Linked DNA regions of Solanum lycopersicum. The protein of the gene in region 2 interacts with the protein of the main gene of each other region in a pairwise test. Links are inferred from orthologs where the notes say so. Each region holds a gene or a part of one and is shown on either strand. Other genes may lie near its edges.

Region 1 (9,650 bases), on a different chromosome or scaffold from region 2:
GATAAATTAGTATACAATATAGGTAATGCTTCTTTAGCTTTCTCTATGTATAATAAGAAAAATACCAACCAAAAATGTATTATCTTTGCATTTGGTTATGAATATTGATTAATCCCGAAAACCATTTTATATCTCATATAGAAGGTGATATATCCTTATCTATCTCATCTCGATAACCAACTTTTTCCGATATATCTTTCCTGCAAACAGAAATACTCTTTTACAAACACAAAAAAAATGCATTGAAGATACACACTTGCCTAAAAACAATGGTTACATATAACGAATTGTTACAAAAGTGTCTTGGATTGTAACCAATACTAGCAAATTCATCGAACACTCCCAAAAGGGATTTTCAGGTATTTACAGCAGTCTAAGTTGATCGTAACACCTACTAAGTATGTTTAAAAAGGTGAAAAGAATTTATCAAATGCCAGACAAACAAGACATTTCAACCCACTTTCCGGTTAGGCAAAGGCATGTACAGGTTTCACATACCATAGTCATTGAAATTCTCGTCTGGAATGTAAAAGTCGAACTTGACATCAACTGAACCAGAATTATCTCCAGTGTCTTTGTACTCAACATTTGTTATTGTCCCAGTTGGATCCTCTACCTGGTATTCTGATCTCACCCGTCTGACTGGCACTGTGACAGAGTAGATTGTCCCTAGGTCTGGATCCGTTGAGACGCTCAGCTGTACTTTCTCCTGCGATTCTATTTCCACAAAATCAGAGAGAGCACTAACGACGTTGCTTACAATCTTCTGTTTGGCCTCATCACTGACAGCACATCTATCAGAGAAGAGAATCATCCTCAGGCGTTGCTTAGCAACATTAGCAGCAGAATTACTTGCCGAAGGGGATGGTGGAAACATTATCTTCCAAGCCAAGCTTAGGCGCTCAAAAAAGCTCATGCTGATAGCATTGAGGAGTAAATTATCAAATTCCTGGCTGATGGAACTTGCTGCTACTTTATAGTCTCCAAGAATCCCAAGAGGCTTTCTTGAGTGGCATCGGAAGCTATGGCTATCAGATGATAGACGAGACCATTTGGGCAACACCTCAGAGGAACTAGATCCACCATTAAGAAAGGCACTAAAATCTACCTGCAATGTGAAAGAAAATTATCTTTCATTGTGGTCATGATACAAACAATGGGAAAACACAACACAAAAATTTAGGCACATTTTATGAAATTGTTTACAAGATGCTAGGACGCACACGCTTTCCTACATATTGCACAGCTTGTAGGAACCATTATTTCCCAATGCTTACAATTTTTCTGACACAGCTTTAGTAAAAAGCACAAGTAGAGATGCAAATATTAAAAATCTACATTCAAGCATGGTTTACCAATAACCCAATCTTTGAAAGTGCTAGGATTCAAAAGATATAGAGAACGCACTTAAAAGGATATCGGCAAAAGTTTTTCGTTGGGGAATAAGTAAACATAACCATTTTATTGCTTCTTCATCTATCAAGGAAAAAAAATATAGTTCAGCATTTGAAGCAAACGATAAATCCAGGTGAATCAATGAATAAACATATTGCACAAGCATATCCACTGATGAGTTAAGAGTTCAAAGTACTTTTTACAGAGACGCACACATGGACCCAATTGATGCAAATGTATGACCATGAATATTTTACACCTTGAGCACATCTGATCCAGCTTGGACACAACATCTCACATTTAGCTAGGCTCTAAGATCCAAAGAGGGAAAAAAGGAAGACAAAATTGAACTAAAACTAGAAATCAAGGAAGCAACTTTTGAGCACATATCGACCTGGTACCAGGCAGAATGAAGAAGACCAGTTGAACTGTGAATCACATTTAGGGCCCAGTTAACTAATTCAACCATCTCGGCAAAAGAGACGAAGACCAAGTAGGCACCAATTAGTCTAGCCTTTTCTTTTAAATAGGACCTAGCCAGCTTCTCTAATATGCCGCGACACAAATATTCGGTATTAGAAGTGTCAACCACTCAGTCCTCATTGCAATTATAGGAACCATATTAGGCGTTATTGAAGAGGTCTCAAGCAACAAGACCACAAGTACATATTTAAGTCTGATAATGTCAATGGTGCATGTTTTTGGAAAGGCTATGCACCAATGGCATTACCATCTGTGCAATAACTACATGCCTATAAATCAAATTACTAAAAAAATGTGGCTATGCTAACATGAACAGGTGTAAATTAGTGCTATGCTAACATGAGCAGATGTAAATTAGTCGGAGTTAAGGCACCAAATTCACGTAGAAAATGTTAACTGTTAAGGGAAAAAACAACCAAAGTTCCAAACAACATAAGCTCAAACGAATCAATGCATTGAGATAATTTTGAAAACTTTACTGTGTCCTAAGTCCTAACAGAAAAGCCATCATCTCAAGAAAGAAGGAAAAAGTGTAGTGAATGTCCAAGCAATTCAGTGGGAAACACTCTCTTCCACTAGAACATTGGTTGAGCCTGAGTTAATGGGTTGTTATCTCCTCACATAGTCTTGGACAATCCTTACCTCATGAGGTACCTTTTCATGTTGAATTAAGCCCAAGGTTCATCACAACCAAACTCATCACTGTTCTTAGTTTACCCAATGGACGCCCATGTTATGTTCTCTACACACCAAATGTCCAGTTCGGTCTGGGTTGGTGGGTGGGTGGGTGTGTATGAGCATGGGGGTGGAGCCGTCCCATATTTGAGGGAATGGTATGTTTTCTCCGTACACAGTCTAGCACAATCCTCATCTCATAGCTAGCTTTTGAGGTCGCATAGACCCTAAGTTCATTTTCTTCACATGTAAATGAAGTAAGCCAGAAGAAAAGTGGTGATTAAGATTATGTCCATCAACTCTTATTTAAAGCGGGAAAAAAAACTAAATTAATTTAGTCATCAATAACCATACAGGAACTTTCCTAATACACACACACCAACAACATGGGACCATTACCCAAGCTTCCGTCACAAAAGCAGGTCCAGAATCATAAGCCAGGGGTGTGGAGTACCTCTAAGCTCACTACTTTTTTTTTGTAACAAAATATGCTCAATTGACTGTAAAAATACTTCTAAAAAAGTTTCAACATGTGTGTGTGTGTACATATAGACCTCAAGCAAAGGCATTGGGACTCATGATCCCTGCCTTCACTGTTGATCAACTCCTGTTCACGCATGCCAAAAGAGAATTAGCAAGAAAATCCTTCACCTAACAAGTCCCAGAAGCTCCAAACACATCCTTAAATAGAGCCCTGATCAATAAGCTAGACATTACTCAGATGATGCTTCTCACCTATTTCCAAACTCCATCAACCATAGTCCATACTAGCCCTAGCTACTTTTCCCACTTAGCTTAATCAGCAGTAGGTGGAAACAGCTAATTCACATAGTTACCAAGCACTTACTCATCTTTTAAAAAACACAAGACACCTAGCACTTAAGCCCTCCAATTCTGAAAGTTTCTCAATCTTAGAACTCTACATTCAAAACCGAGGAGAAAAAAACGAATCTTTGACTATAAAAGAGTACATTGTACACCTCCCAACAGCAACAGGAATCCAAGTAACTCTATCCACCCATGCTAGAACAAATGAGAAGAAATCACCTAGTTTTTTTCATTTCTGCTGGGATTTCAATCTGAAACCTCATGATGCTCACTTCATTCACAAATCACAACTACTTGTAAACAAATGTAGACCCATATCACCAAATTTTAAAAAAAGGTACCCAAGAAAAGCTATAGAAATTTCCTCAAAAATTACAGTAACACAATCTCTTAGATTTGGCGAAATGATTGGATGAAGCTAACATTCCCATAAAGTTAACAACTTAACAAATTCCCAACAAACAATTCACTTAAAATCGTATAAAAAACATGAATTTGTTAATCTATGAAAAGTCAAACCTTTGAAGGAGGTAAAGAGGTCCGAAGTGGATTCTTTGGGTATGGAACCAATGTAGCGGAGACCCTAAAATCTCCTGAAATTGCCATTTTTCTCTTTCTCACTGCTTCTACTTCGCACAGAAACGGAGGTTAGGGTTTGGAAATGGGAACTTTCAGGTGAAATTGCCAATACAGTAGAGCTCACGCCAACCCTACGTACTCAGCTCATTATTACGACGTCGTTCCCGGGTACATGTGAATTCTTTTGTTTTGATCTTTAGGGATTGTGTTTTAGTTATGTATTCGAATAACTAATCTCTGCATAAAATTTCGCTTGAGATAAAAATGGTAAATTTAAATTTATTGACGTGACTCGAGTATATACAGACTGAGATGACCGAGAATGCGTAATTTAGGGAGAAAATAACTTGTTTTAATCAATATGAATGAATAACGAGTGTAATATAAAATGAAATTAAACAGTAAAGTAATTGAATAGAAACACCTCGAGGTCTGGTACTAGAATTTGGTTGCGGCATCGGGCAAGTTTGATGTTGTTGATAATGAACAAAACAATGAATGACAAAGCTTAATAGAGCAACTTTTGTAGAACACAACCTTCACGTAGACTCTCCTTGACTCACGTCTGCAATTGTTATGCAATTTTTGGAGGAGGAGTATCGCGAATCTTTCGATAGTGGTTGGGCTTCATGCTTATCATATTTAGGTATGGTCCGATGTCAAATCTCGACGCTCTAGAGCTAGGCGGGCTTGTGGATGTATAAGTGTAGTGAACTTGGAATGTCTTGGAACAAGGTTATTTCTTTTCATCACCGTTGAGAATATATTCAGTGTCATTAAGTCAAACCTGAGCTGCCACTTCCTTCATGTGTCTTTTCTCGATTCAGCACCTGACTTTTTTTTACGAACATAGTGTTTGATTGAATGCATTGAAAAGAATCGACTTAGAATTATAAAATAGTGATTTTACGATTATCTTAAAAAATATTTATATAAATTATGTAAAAATAAATACATTATTCTACACAGAATGAAATATCTAAAGATGAAAACTACTCGTTTAAGGTATGTAATTATCTATAACAATAATCTCTTTAGTATTATATTAATACTCGCAAACCAATCTTCATTACTAATAATCGCATAAACAACCAAGTATTCACCTTATTGACGGTTTCAATAGAAAAGGGGGTGAAATTAGAGACGCAAGGTAATACCAAACAATATATTATAATTATTATTATTATTAATACAAGAATAAAAAAACTCAAATATGCCATTGAATTTTTAGAAAAAACTTATTTATGTCATCCGTTTAAAGTTTGACTCATCTATGTCATTACCGTTCAAGAAAAGGTTAATTCATGCCATTATTTTTTAACAGTGATTTTGCAAAACCATTTTGACACGTGGCCAATTGTAATTCGGCTATGTCATCAATTTTTTAAATAAAAAAATCATAATTATGAAGAAAAAAAATTGAACTAGATTTTTTTTTGTTTAAAAAATTGATGACGTGGCCGAATTATAATTGGCCACGTCATAAATTTTTTAAAATAAACAAATTAAAATTCTGAATAAAAATTGAATTAATTTTTTAAAAATTTTCTTTATTAAAAAAATTTATGACGTGACCGAATTATAATTGATCACGTGAATGATTTTGCAAAATCATTATTAAAAAATAATGGCATGAATGAGCCTTTTTTTAAATAGTAATGATATAAATGAGTCAAACTTTTAACTGATGGAATAAATGTGTCTTTTCTGAAAGTTCAATGACATATTTGAGTCTTTCCCCTTAATACAAAGTATTGATTTTTTAAAAGGAAACTTTGACGTATAGCCACTAAATTAGCGAGATTGAGAGAGGCAGGAGAGAGACGAGCGAGATTGAGAGAGAGACGAGCGAGAGAGGACAGAATGAGAGAAATTTGAATTGTATATGTATATTGGTTAAATAATAATATGTCTTATACATATGAATTTGTATATATGACAAGTGAGATAGCAAGAGGGAGAAGAGAGGCGAGCGAGATTGTGAGAGAGACGAGAGAGGAGAGCGAGAGAGGGAAAAGAGTGGGAGAGATGTGAATTGTATATGATGGTTGAATAATTGTATATTATACATATGCATTTGTATATTTTAACAAATAATACATATATAAACGTGATTAATTACATAAACTCGAAATCAAACCATGTAACTAATTTATAAAGTTGTGGTACGATTATCTTAAATAATATTTATATAAAATAGTGATTTTATGATTATCTTAAATTTGCTTAACCGTAGGGAATATTCTAGTAGTATCAACAAAAACCTTGTTGGATCAGTTCCACGTGTATCCACCACTACCAGCCTTTGCATTCTTGTTCATCGACCAAAATTGTCCAATTTTAGCCATGATTTTTCCGGTGAGTCATTTTCTATTAGCTAATTTTTCCGGTGAGTCCTTTTCTATTAGCTAATTTTTCAGGTGAGTTCTCTTCTATTAGCTAAGAATTGGATATTATTGACTCTTATGATTAAACTATTTGTATCCTATGTGTTTGATAAATTTCCTGAATGAAGTCATTTTTTAAAGTAAATTTTTAGATTATGCGTTGTTCAAAACTTTGGCTGAAAGAATCGGTGTATAACAAGGATTAAGCTACAAAAATGGTCAAGGTGTTTAATTTTTTGTATTTTTTAGGCATAAAAGGAGGAGGAAATACAAAGGTATAGTCCTCATTTAATGACATGAAATTTCTTCACTACTGTTTTGCGTTGTTTTTAGTAATATAACTAAGTTTCATTTTCAAAATAGCCTCTCGGGTAAGGTCTGCGTACACAAAATACTCCACTTGTGGGATTATACAGCGTAAGTTGTTGTTGTGTTTTCCTTTGCTATCACTTTTTGATTTATTGGATTGAGGAATGGGTAGTCATTCCTGATGCTAAGTATGGCTGTAAGATTTTGTTCTTGTGGATATATTTTTGTAAATGTAGAATTCGTTTGTCTTATGCATAACATTTACACATTCTCATTTACTTGACTTGTGGGTTTAACAGGAGTAGATGAACAAGGGGAAACAGTTTTTGAGTTCATTGATCGACAACAGCTAGCCAGGGAGCATGAATTCAGTAACAGCATCGGCATCAGCATACATTTCACTTTCACTTAGCATCTCGCCTCCTACTAGAAAAGCGCGGTCTAAATTTCAGCTAGGCAAATGCAAACCCCTAATATCGTCCAATTTTGACTGCAAGTGCAGGGCTCTGGGAGAAGGCTCTCAGCCAGAGACACAGTCCCAGACGATCCAACCTACAATTTATCAAGGCGTTTATGGCCCTTGGACAATCGAAGACTCTGATATTCGAGAGGTAAAACCAACTCCACCCTGTTGTGCCATGCTGTTTATATATTAGTTTAACCTAGAGATGTTGCATTTGAATTCGTTGCACAACACTGTTGAAGAGAAATGTATGCAGCATAGCTTAAATTTAATTGAAGGTTTCTGGCACTTTGTGCTCCTACAATAATATATTTATGCTTACTATATTTCTAAAGGAAGGATGCTAATATTAGCAATCTAATACACTGAAATCGGTTTGCATTCTTTTTGACAATGTTAATGAACAAAAGATTCTCCCTTCATGTTCATTAATTCTTTTCAGTTTTGTCTTTGTTACTATGTCCCCTGCCTGAATGAATTTTGTTAGATAAAACAAAAATTTTCTTCTTGCAACAATCAAGATGGCGAACTCTCGATGATGCAAAGTTAATGTTATCAACTTTGCAGGTAATTTTGTACAGATCAGGATTAGTAACTGCGGCTGCTTCATTCGTTCTTGCGTCTTCTGTGGCTTTGCTTCCCAATGATTCAGTTACGAGTAACTTGATTGAGAAAAACCTTGATTTGTTTTATGCAATTGGATCGTGTGGACTTGGCCTGTCATTATTTCTTATTCACATTTATGTGACTGAAATTAAACGCTCTCTTCAAGCTTTATGGTTCCTCGGTGCTATCGGATCATTGGCAACATATTCTACCCTTGCTCACCCAGCTGGCATGAATCTAGTTCAATATGTTATCGAGAATCCAATAGCTGTTTGGTTTGTCGGACCACTATTTGCATCATTGACAGGACTTGTGTTCAAGGAAGGTTAGGTTCCAGTTACATCTTTATAAACATGCAGTTACAATTTCACCTACCACATCACAGTATTATCAAATGGGAACTCATTTTAGATACCACATTTGGCTAGTAGAGATAGTAATTTTTGTTTGCAAGTTGAGGTTTTGGAGATGTAACAAAATGTATACTGATTTTCAGAATAAAGGAACTTACTGATTGTCCCTTAGCTGTAGTTATCATTTTCGGTTATGATAGATAATTCATATCTAACAAATTATACTTCTCTTAACTTCCACTTTCTGTAGAACACTCCGGTCTCCGTTCATTTAAGGATCTCTGAGTTTATTTTTGTTATCTTGGAACAGGACTTTGCTATGGAAAGTTGGAAGCCGGTCTTCTGACATTTGTCATTCCTTCCCTCCTACTGGGGCACCTGGTAACATTTGCGACTATGCTGCTAGTCCTAAAGTTTCATTCTATGCAGAGTTATTTAGTTATAAACCTGAAATATACTTCTCCAACCTTACAATTGAAACATCAATCCTTCATCGTCCGAAAATGACAACCTGAAGATCTCGAGATGCTCCAATCAGAACTTCTTTTTCTACAGCACTCAGATTGTTTGACTAGGCTTTCAAAAGTTAACAAAACTATTGAAATTTGGAACTGTTAGAATTTCACTTCATAGTTCTATTTGTCCACCCAAGAAATTGACATTATATTTTCCTGTTGAAGTTGTTTCGTTTCATGTATATTATAATGATCCAAACTAGACTATCTTCTGGATTCCAGACTGGTATTATGGATGACGGAGTAAAGATTACCCTATTGAGCACATGGTTGGCACTGTTTGTGGTCTTTGCTGGGAGGAAGTTCACTCAGCCTATAAAGGTAAGACCTCATCCATTTGCTTTGTTATTGCGCTCTATATCTGTATTTTCTCAAATTTAACAAAAGTAGCATATTTCAGGATCCCCAGTGACAAGATCTAATCCACTTCCGCGGATATTATATTTCAGGATGATATAGGAGACAAATCAGTATTCATATTCAACGATTTGCCAGAGGAAGAAAAAGCTGATTTGATCAAGAGACTTGAGCAGCAACAATAAACTAAACAAGAGTCTTGATTAGGATGTTACACTTCTGTTATCCCTCACCCGCAATATCCTTAGTCCAGTCATCTTCGCTTTCGGTAATCCAGCAGTTATCAACTCAAAGGAAGGGAAATGAAGTGTATCCACTGTGTATCAAGAGTGATGAACATAAAGCCATCAGCCCTCTCGCCTTACAGTCAAGTGACTTTCAGCTCCTTTCCTTCGCTACCAGGAACGTAAGCAACTTCTATTAGCCAGACCTTGAGTCGAGTTGATCGTGTCGTAAGAAGCCCCTTTCACAGCTATTCAGGAGGTTCAAAGCCAAGTATCATGACAGTAGGAGTGTTAATGTTAGAAGCCAGTTGCATTAGTAGCTCTATAGATTGAGGTCAAAATAGCTGCTATTGTTAAGTTTTGGGTTATTGTGAAGGAAAAAGTAGTGTACTTGTATTTAAATACAATTCATCCTACCTTCCGTATGTATGTTATTTTATTGTATAAAGATTTCTTATCTTTAATCTGGCAAATAA
Region 2 (10,773 bases):
CTTTTAATTTAATCACTTTTCACTAGATTTATTGAAGGTATTTCCTGTAAGCTAGTATGGTTTCTCTCTCTATCTGACTCTCTCTCTCTAGACCTTGTGGTCTTCTGACCTCCATTTTGACGCCTTTATCCTCTTTGCTTATGTTCTTTCTTAGGGGTCAAATGGTGTGGTTATATGCATCATTGCTAGTTCAGGTGTTGTAAATTCCAGTGATGTGCGTAGCATCTTGCGCACGTTTCGCCAAACTACTGGATGTAATGGAGACATTGTGATATCAATTGTCCAGGAAGCCAATTTGGAGCCAAATTTAATAGTTACTACTGTAGTGACATGTGGGTAAGTTGTTAAATGAATGCTGAGCCAAAATCTATCCTCATCTTTTTGTTAAGAGTAGTTATATTTGTTTCATGAGATCTATCTTGTTTAGGACTTGCTACTCTCTAAATATATTTTTTCCTCTAATTTGCTTATGGCACTTCATGAATGCGCATTATATGAATTGATCTCCTTAATATAGGGTAGGGGTGGCAATCACCTGGGATGTGTGGGTGGTGGGATGATGATGATTGTGGACTGAGCTGTAATTGTTCTGTACAAGATGGTTAAGAGAGTAACTTATCAAAGGGACAACAACAACATAACCAGTGTTATCCCATAGGTGGGGTCTTGGAAGGGTAGAGTGTACGCAGAGCTTACTCCTCCCTCGTGGGGGTAGAGAGGTTGTTTTAGAAAGATCTTAGCTCAGGTAACACATATCGAAGTAGTTTGAAAAAAATATACATAAGTAAAGAGGACATAACAAATAATAGGGGAAGACGTTATAGAGCATTCAAAAAACAAGGAATAGTAACAATAGGCAATAGCCATATAAATGCGATAACTGAAGCACATGAATTAACGGGTAGTAACAGAAATCGTAGGACAAGAAACTACGAGAGTCTGTCTTTGGTCATTTTACCGCATATTGGTTTTAAGAACACACCATATCTGACATATATAACTATATTGAAGCTCTGATTTTTCCTTGGTGCTTTGGTTTAAAAAAAAAAAAAAGTTTCCGGCAAAATATATTTTATGTGCGTACTGACTAATCATTGAATGTCTAGTGCCTGCTATTGGTTGATATCAAGATACTGGAATTGTATCCTCTTGCCTTTTTGGTTTTGTTCGAGTGCCTGTATACTGTGTGTTTCTTTCTGTCTGGTTCTATTATTTGTTGGCACACTATTCACTTCAGATGTTTTATCAAATGATTTGCTATAGAGTTTAACCTGTTCTTTTAGCGAATTTGCACTACTATCTAAAATCCTAATTCTTGAGTATTTATTATTCATAGGTACGCTACACAGGAACCATCTGAAAAAAGTAGCTTATTTTCTAGACTAGCGCAACATATTCCTTTCATTTTTAATATCCTTAAGAAGCCAGATCCACCACTTCTAACTGCCAAAGAGAGTGAAATTGATGAGAGTCCAGAAACTTCTGATATGGCAGAATTTGTTTCTATGGATAATACACCTGAGGATATGTCCATCTATTCTGGGGAACTGCCGGCATTATTTCCTACCAATGGTGAAGAAACATCCTTTTTGAGGTCTTTTTCTACTCTTTTAGAACTATCTAAGTTCACCTTTGCTTAAATCATTCTTGGACGACTTATTGTGCTTGCTCTTAGAGAAAGTTTGTTGCTATGCAGAGATTATAATAATGTCTCTGATGAAAGGAAGATTGAACTGTCAAATTCTGATGTTGCAACTGAAGGTACATAATTATTTTCATGCAGTAGCATCTTGACATGAATGCAAGAAATATTCATCAATTGCAATAAGATGAAAGTGGACAACAAAGATATGAGCTTATAATGGAATAGTGAAATCCTGACCAGATTGAATTTTGCAGCACCTCTTGTTTTCAAAAGAGAGCTGCTCACAAGATGGAATCCGGGTCCAGGAAAAGACACTTCAGAAGGCTTAGCTGCAGAAGGGACTGAAAACTCGGAAGGCAAAAACACGGTTGACAATACCAGCACCTACAAACTTCCAGTTGGTGTAAAGCATAAAGAACAGTTGCAAACTAGTGCAGGTTCCTCAAACTCAAGAAGTTCAGGGAGGAAATCTGAAGAAAGTAAAGTTGCACAGCCTAGAGATATCTCAAATCTATCTCAGGATGAAGTAGATGAAGATTACAGCGAAATTATTTCAGATGTTTACAACTCCAACCTTCCCTTAGTTGAAAAAAGCTACGCCAGTGGCCCAAAAAGGAAAGGAGTTCTGTCTACTCGGGCAGCCTCTATGCTGGTAAATAGCCTCTCTTTTTTATTGTTACTATTATTTTATTATCACCAAGTGTAACAACTTTACAAAGCCAAAGCTCACTATCACACCAGCTGTATAACCTTACTCCAATTAACTAGAAAAGTAAAGACTGTACTATATGTCTAGTTCTAATTGTAGCTCTCACGTTACTTACAGGAGCTATTTCTCTTGCTATTCGATCTGGCATCGTACTCTTTTTCTAAACAATCCTTTGGTTTTGCATTTGTGTTTTGGTGCTTGTCCATCGTTTAAGCTGCAGGACATGGCACCAGAGCCATTTCCTCCTCCCTCCACCTCAAATTTATTCATGTATAGAGGAAGCTAGACATCTTAGTGTGTTGAATGGTTGTATGACAAGGTAGAATTATGTTGGAGAGTTTTGACGCAAAGTTAAATTTATTTTTATCATCATACTCAGGAAGCTGAACGGGATTCAAAAAAGAAGTGGATCCCTGTAGTTGAAATGAAATACAGGGGAGGTATATACAGAGGTCGCATTGAAGGAGGCCTCCCAGAAGGAAAGGTACTTTGATCTATCTATTACAGTCTCAGAAAACCTGTTTTCTGGGTTACTTTTTTTTAACTACGTGCAGTGCAAAACAGTTTTTTTTTTCCGAAGTATTATGAACCATCTTTTTGAATATTTTTAACATAAAATTTTATGATTTGTAGTGCTTTTAATATACTTTAGCAGTACGTAAATTTATTTTCAAAAAAATCGTTATCTTAATTCACTCTGTAACTTAGATGCATTGACCTTCATGCTATGAACCATGCCGCTCAACATTGGGATGATGAGTATATTTTTTTTCTCGTGTTTGTCTGGATGAAGTGAATTTTGAATTTTATAGGGCTGCCTGTCTCTTGAAGATGGAAGCAAATACGATGGTATGTGGCGCTACGGGAAGAAGTCAGGATTGGGTACATTTTACTTCAATAACGGTGATACTTATCGGGGTTCATGGAGAGATGATCTCATGCATGGAAAGGTACTAATAATCCTTAAGTGCTTTTCAGAGTTTGATAGTTCTCTATTAATTTACTATACAAAAACTAGTGTGCGTGCACTTCTGCTGCGTGTTATCAGCTTCTCATTCTATATTTCCTGTTGTTTCAGAAAGTTGTAGTATTTCAATATGTCATGGATTCCCTCAGTTAATGAAAATTTTCTGTTTCCTTTATTAAAAAAGAACACCATGGATAGTGAGACACCTTTTCGAAATATACCAACCAGCATGCAAAAGAGCTTCCTAGGCACGCACGTGGTCTATAGTAGAAAAAGAACCCGAGAGCTTTTTAAGAATGTGGAAACTCGTTTGTGCATTAGAAGAGCGTGTTGGTTTTTGGTCAAACATTTTACCTACTATATTTACGTTTTGGAAGACTGGGTGCTCTCTTTGAAGGACCATGTTTGAGATTATCCACTTTCTGTATATAAATACTCCCATTTAAATCAGTAAATTTTTTACTTCATCAAAAAACAAGCCAACTATCCAAATTATTCCGATTAATTGCTTTTCAAGCATCAATTGAGTTGAACTTGATAACAATTGTTTTCAAGAATTCTGAAGTATTTTGGAGAAATACTTTGTATTTGTGGCATCTTTCGTGTAACTTCTGGATCTGTACAGATTCATCCATGCTTGGTTTCATAATGAGAATTTGCGAAGCTGATTCTTTGAGAATGGTAACAGTTATTATAAACTCCAGCAGAAAGGCAGTGATGGGTGCCATATTTACAAACACAAGACAGCTCCATGGCACCCTTGATTCTTCTTTCAAGGATTCTAAAGCTTCCAAAATTGATACTGAATGATCTGTATAATTTTCATTACACCAAAAGTGAAAAAATAAAATACAATTCAACTCGGATCTTTTGGGAAGAATTATATCTATTCCGAAACATCTAGAGTTTCTTTCCTTCCGGATGGTCCCCCATATGCATGTAGGAATTATTCTCCATCTACTCGTGGCTGATACATCTGCCTGAACTGTTCCAACATGACCAACAACTCACTAGTTGATCTTGGCATTATCCATTCAACGCCTATCAATTTAGGAAGATCTGACTTAGCTAGCTAGTGATGAAATCTTCGTTTATCATTCTATTCTCTTGGAACAACGAGCCTAAATGTATAAATTGTTTGCATCTTGGCACCGCAATCCTATATAGTCTTTTTTACCTCAACGTGGCTCTTCTCATGCTTACTAAGCTTGCAGTGCATATATTCAGTCATACACTACTTGTCCTAAAACCACTACTCTCAGAAATGATTATCCATAGTTCAATTTTTTGGTCGACAACCTTGTTGATTTCGTCAATTAACTTACTATGGTCAGCAAATAGCATGCATCATGAGACCTCATCTTGTGTTGTGTTGAACAAGTAGGGATTCAATGTCGATCCCTATTGTAGACAACTATTATGGGAACTCCTTTGTATCTCCTACTACTGTTCTCATTCTAGTGACAATTCCTTTGTGTTTCGGTATATGATAGTTTATTTAGCAATGTTCAAATAAAAATTTGTAGATGCCGTGCATATCACTTGTCAAGCAGATTTTGCACACTCTCCTTTCTCTGGAAAAAGTTTGCATCATCCTAGCTGTCATTGTCTAAACAAATAACACTCTTTAACTATATATAGGGATGGTTTTACTTTCATACTGGGGATCGATGGTTTGCGAACTTCTGGAAGGGAAAGGCTAATGGAGAAGCCCGTTTCTATTCCAAACTTGGTGATGTTTTCTTTGGTCACTTTAAAGATGGATTGCGCCATGGTCAATTTCTCTGTATCAACATTGATGGGACGAGGTATGTTTGTTTAGTTCTCGGTTTTCTAATTCAGACATCGTTTTTACACATTAAAATACAAACGCTGAACTGGAATTTAAAGTTGGATTAACTCAGAAATAATGTTTATTTCCTACTTGAACCATCTCAAATCTTACATCTTTTGAAGTTCCTAGGCTTGCATACGACTTAAATATCTGCAGTACATCTGTCTGTCATAAAAACATAGTTAAGGCTCCATAGTTCTTCCAATTATAAACCTAGGATATAAGGTGAAGAGGTCCATGCTAATACCAGCGGATTGCAGAAATTTATCTCATCCTTCACTCCTTAAACTCCCGTCCGTTCCAAATGTGCTACTTTGTGTTTTTATTTTCCAGAATTTGACACACGTTTCATTCTGCATATTACATGAACTAGTTCTCAGATATCTGCATATAAATTTCATTTAAAATTGGGAATAGTGCAATGCTTAGACACTCGATATTGATATGCAATGGCTGTGGGTTTTAGTATGAGCCAGACTATTCTTCTAATAGATACCTATATGACCAATGTATCAAGCACCCTGTTAGGTTACTAACTCATTACATGTCTGAGAGGTCGATGAACCACCAGCCTTGGCACCACCTGAACCAAGTTGGTTGTACATCGGGTTTCACTTTTTTTTACCGGTAGTGCTAGCTGAATTTTGATCTCTTCGACTCGTTGTGACCAAGAAGCTTGTACACTAATCGATCTTCATGATTTCTGGGCTCTTCTATGATGCTTACACGAGTACTCTTTTGCTATTGTTAATTAAGTACACTTCTTTTGTTATTAATGTAATCCTCATGTTCTATTAGGAGTATAGAGGAATGGGATGAAGGCCTTCTTCAAAGCCGAAAGAATTTGGATTCTGATGCAGAAACCGGGTAGACTGTCTATCGTATCTGTAAAAATATACGATCCTTCGTACATTCTTGGTGTACTAGAGAAACAAATGGCAGAAATATATCAAGCAGGGGCGGGCGGATGCCTATTACGAAGAGTTTTCTTCAATCAGCTTCAATGATCATAACAAAACTATGCTGTAGCAGTAGCAGCAGCTCAGAGTATTATATGAACATCCTCTAAGCATTTGGTTCTTTATTTGACTGGTGAAATCCAATTTGAAAATCTCCAATTCTAACAGATCTTGTATATTATGTAAATAGTAATTTAAAGTTATCTTTTTACATCTAGGGGCATTAGCTCTTGTTGATTTTTATTTTAGGGTATGCCCGAAATTCCAGACATACATTTATACTATTCTAAGGTTCTATTACCTCTGAGCTTATTTATAAATAATCTTTTATTTCTTTTCGGCCTTCGTGACACTATCAACCAAATAGTTTGAAAAGATTGTCAACACGTGTTGGGCCTCAGAAGATAGTGCCACGTAGGTCGAAAAAAGTCAAAATTATTTATAAAATAAGTTCGGGGGTTAATAGGACCTTAGTACAATATATGTGTGCTTATGAGATTTTGGGCATATGGGGGTACTTATACATTTTTTCTATTATTTATTACTCCCTCTGTCCACAATTGTTTGGCAGGTATACTAAAAATAGATGTCCAAGATTAATTGTCAATTTAAATAATCAAGAAATAATTAGTCATCTTTTTTCCAAATTTGCCCTTAATGATAATGTAGTTCAATTGGGAAGTTAGGTAGACTTTTGATATTCTTGATAGGGTTATATTAGTCAAATTACACATTGTATTAAATTTTTCTTCAGGGGTGTGCATGACTTTAACATGACAAATAATTATGGACGGAGAGAGTATTTTTATTTGGAGCACCTTGTGTATTTTGGAGTTTCATGTTCTTAATTCTTATCGAAACAGAGTCGATAGCATATAATTCGAAAAATTCATGGACTAATAATACTCGTGAAAACAAATATATTCCTGAATTTTTATTTCGTGACATACAAATTTCAGAACAAAAAAAAACGTTTGTCATTTGAAAATAGTGGGTATTTTTTTTCCATTCAATAAGAATTACGCGATTATTTCAAATTTTTCATGTGTTAGTACATGAATTTTACGATGATATGAATTTCCTACACTTACAAAAACTATACAAAACCTTGTGTAATGACTTGGAGAAACAATATCTATAGCCTCACTATAATTCACGCCACTTGCTTAGCATTTAGGGGTCACCCAATCAGATTTTCTCCGTTTTTCGTGTATATTAGTACATAAACTTTTGGTGATATGTATTTCGGATACTTTTGTTTACAAAAATTATACAAATCCTCCATAATTACTTCGGAAAACATTACATATAACTTCACCATAATTTACGTAAGTTATATTTTTTTATATAAGAAAACAACATAAAGTTGCACATATGTATATTAAGAAAAAAAAATTAGCACTACCTGTTAAATAAAATTTTAAATAACAAAAAAACAAATAAATTTTAGAAAAAATATCTAATAATATTTTTGAAAAGAATATTCAGAATAAAAATCATTTTCTCATTCCAAGTTTAAAATTTGTCACTATGTATATCTTGTTTTGTCAAACTTTATGGGAACAAAATGTCTTTACTATTATGTGGATTTTAATGAAGAAAAAACAAAAAGAAAAATTATCTAAAATAAATAAGGTTGTAATTTTTTTTAGCGAAGTCGATTGACACTCCTTGAACAAAAGTGATATCGATATATTAATAGGCTCATCGAGTTTTTTCAACAAACAAAATAAGGCCCAGGGTAGTACGAATTTTTTATTTTCCATTCAGTCACATTAGAGCTACGACTAAATCTGAATCACGCACTGAAGAGCTCATTCGAGAGTAGTGTTCTTAACAAGATTTTCTCCGTACCAAAAATAATCGAACTCGAGACCTTTGTCAAGACTGAAACAGCCGCACCACTATACCACAATCCATATCGATTCACGATTCTATCAATTTGTGTTAAATAGTTCATAACTAATATAAATATATTTAAAAATAATTCTATCATAAAATTGTCATTAGATAATATGTGGCAAACTTTTTTTTTTTCTTTTGAGTGAAGTGTGTTACAATAATTTCAAATATTTGTGTTAACTATATATAGCTAAGTCATATATATATATATATATAGTTATTGAATTAAATTCACCAGCTCATTTAATTGAATATTTGCATTCAGAAGCATTAATTGATATAGCTCCAGGATTAGGGTTCTTAATTAATATGGAGAAATGACTATTCAAAGAGATCGTGAATGGATCTACAGTGTAATTTATGAATTTACGTAAATTTAAAATTTTTATTTTACTTACATTTTTATACGTATATTAGAAATCTTGCCCCAATGAATATCGCTTATTCCATATTACTTTTTCTGTTAATTTATTATAATAATTTATAAACTTTAAATTCCGAATTTAATTGCCCTTAAAACAACATATCACACCAATCAATTACCTCAACAAGAATTCAATGAATTTATTGAATATTAAATAGTAGTACTCCCCAAAGTTTATTTATTATATTAAATTTAAAATATAGTTAAAATTGTACTGGAAATATATTTTAATTAAACGTGAAAATTTAAGTCAAGAGCCCATCTGTAATTAAATCTTGGATGCATTTTCCTATGAGGTCCTTCAATGCCTTACAATTATTAATAATAATAATAATAAAAAACTTACAAACTGTACTAATAGTTTTTATTATAATTTTATTTATTTTTTCATTAATTGTTTTAATTAAAACTCTACTTTAATTTACTTCTAATATCAGGTAGAGAGCAAATTGGATTCACTACATCACGTGCCATTGACATACTATCACGTGAATACATTATCCTCTTTATTGTTGATTTTCGGAATCGGAAATGATGTATTTCTGGTGTATCATTTATTGAGTTCACGATAATAAAAAAGAAGAATCGACAAAGGAGTGGATAATTTCATTTTTGCATTGTAATAATTTTACTAGTACGAGTCACTTTATACGAATAAAGATATTGCAGAAGACAAAATTAATTTTTATATATATATATATATATATATCAAAATATATAAAATCTCAAAAAAACATGTGAAAAGTGTGCTTGCATAAATAATATTGTATGTCAAACTTAAAATAAATTTATAATTTCGAAGGCAAATTCTTGTAATTTCAATAACATTGTATTGGTCTAAAGATATTTATAAAGTAATTAAATTTGTAAAATAATATGAACTTAGATTAAGAAAAATAGATAATATTTTCTTCAAAAAAACAATATTTTTAGTGAAAGTAGAAAAAATAAATTTCATAAATAACACTCTAAATATGTTCCTTCGAATCAAACACATCCCAAAATTCGTGTCATTCTATCAACTTGAAAAATTAGATAAATTCGTAAAAAAGAAATTATAATTCTGAAATAACTTTATCCGCAAAACAAACGTTTCCTTTGTTTTATTTATTTATTTATTTTGTCAACATTAATTGTTCAATGTCAAAGCAACATATTCATTTCTTAGAAATGAAGAATTGAATTATACAACTTTTCATCTATATATATCTATAGTAACCAAATTGAATAATAAAAATTAACTTTGACCCGTAATTTCCTATTTTAGTTTTAAAAAAATAGTAATTTTTTTTTAAATAGTTACATTAAGATATATATAGATAATTATTGGACTAATTTTGCTTTTCAATTCCCCTTCTTTTCACGTTTTCTTTCTAGAGGACTAAAGAAAAATATATAAAATATCAATTAACTGACGAACCATGATTATGATAAAGTGATAAATACTAGAGGTCTCGGGTTTGAGTATCTCAGGTATAGAGTTGTCTTTGTTGGGGATCATTCTACCTTCAATGTAGGACTTTTCAGCGCGAATCCAAATTTTAATCGAACTTCAATATGATCTCATGAATATCGAACACCAGACGAAAATAAAAAAAAATAAATTAAACCCTTTCTTTTAGGTAGAGTACTGGCACTCCATTTTTTTAATGTAAAAATCTATTAATAGTAAAAAACATTAAAAGTCTATAATTAATTATGGCAAAAAATATTGCATCTCTAGCAACAATATTTGACATAAGAACATGTATCATAATAATTTTTATTGACTAATATGAAAATATGTATTAAATCTTGGTTGTGAAATAATTGTATTTCTAACGTGATATTACTTAAAAGAGGATTAATGATTTACTAATCAAAGAAAAAATTGTCCATCAATTAATTTGAGAGACTACAATTATTGTTTAATTACACTATTGTTATTGTTGACTTTGACTACAAAAGGAAAAATTAATTATTACTATAGTTTTTGGAAAATAATTTTTTTTGAGAAAATCAATATTATTAAGTTGTTTCTTGTGTTGCATACATTATGTTTATCATAATGATATTTAGGATATATAGACTTTTTCGAATCGTATGAACGTAAAATACTTTATGTATCAGACTATCTCTTTTTTTTTTTATCATATATATATAAAAGTAATTTGTAGAATTTCAAGTTAAGTCGTAGATATTTTCAATGTCCAATTTGTATATTGAGTTGTAAAGGTTCTTGATTGGTACCGTCTTGGTAAGAATGTCTATCAATTGATCGATTTTTTGACTTCACAAATAAAAATTAAATAATTTTATCTTTGAATTTTTTTTATGATAAAAATGTCAATAAA

Evidence for each region. The genes of interacting proteins can lie anywhere in the genome.
Region 1: the proteins of protein ACCUMULATION AND REPLICATION OF CHLOROPLASTS 3, chloroplastic (region 2) and cell division topological specificity factor homolog, chloroplastic interact in binary tests that used the Arabidopsis thaliana proteins (3 or more experiments, as listed by UniProt). The link is inferred for Solanum lycopersicum from reciprocal best matches to the Arabidopsis thaliana genes ARC3 and MINE1.

Annotation. Positions count from the first base shown.
Region 1 is NC_090804.1:6,240,665-6,250,314, reverse strand, and holds cell division topological specificity factor homolog, chloroplastic, read right to left. Parts: upstream 4,287-9,650; 5' UTR 3,988-4,286; coding exon 3,901-3,987; intron 1,109-3,900; coding exon 491-1,108; 3' UTR 257-490; downstream 1-256. Other genes in the region: uncharacterized protein, read left to right, coding at 7,019-7,267, 7,687-8,050, 8,389-8,459, 8,816-8,914, 9,043-9,135. UniProt on the Arabidopsis thaliana protein: Acts as a topological specificity factor during plastid division and specify plastid constriction sites (such as the Z-ring) in a MCD1-dependent manner. Especially involved in epidermal plastids division in a FTSZ1-dependent manner.
Region 2 is NC_090800.1:2,337,577-2,348,349, reverse strand, and holds the end of protein ACCUMULATION AND REPLICATION OF CHLOROPLASTS 3, chloroplastic, read left to right. Parts: intron 1-154; coding exon 155-336; intron 337-1,336; coding exon 1,337-1,594; intron 1,595-1,696; coding exon 1,697-1,761; intron 1,762-1,899; coding exon 1,900-2,297; intron 2,298-2,733; coding exon 2,734-2,838; intron 2,839-3,166; coding exon 3,167-3,304; intron 3,305-4,962; coding exon 4,963-5,129; intron 5,130-5,953; coding exon 5,954-6,026; 3' UTR 6,027-6,447; downstream 6,448-10,773. UniProt on the Arabidopsis thaliana protein: Together with MIND1 and MCD1, regulates FtsZ ring positioning in chloroplasts in an ARC6-dependent manner. Z-ring accessory protein involved in the initiation of plastid division and division site placement (might functionally replace bacterial MinC).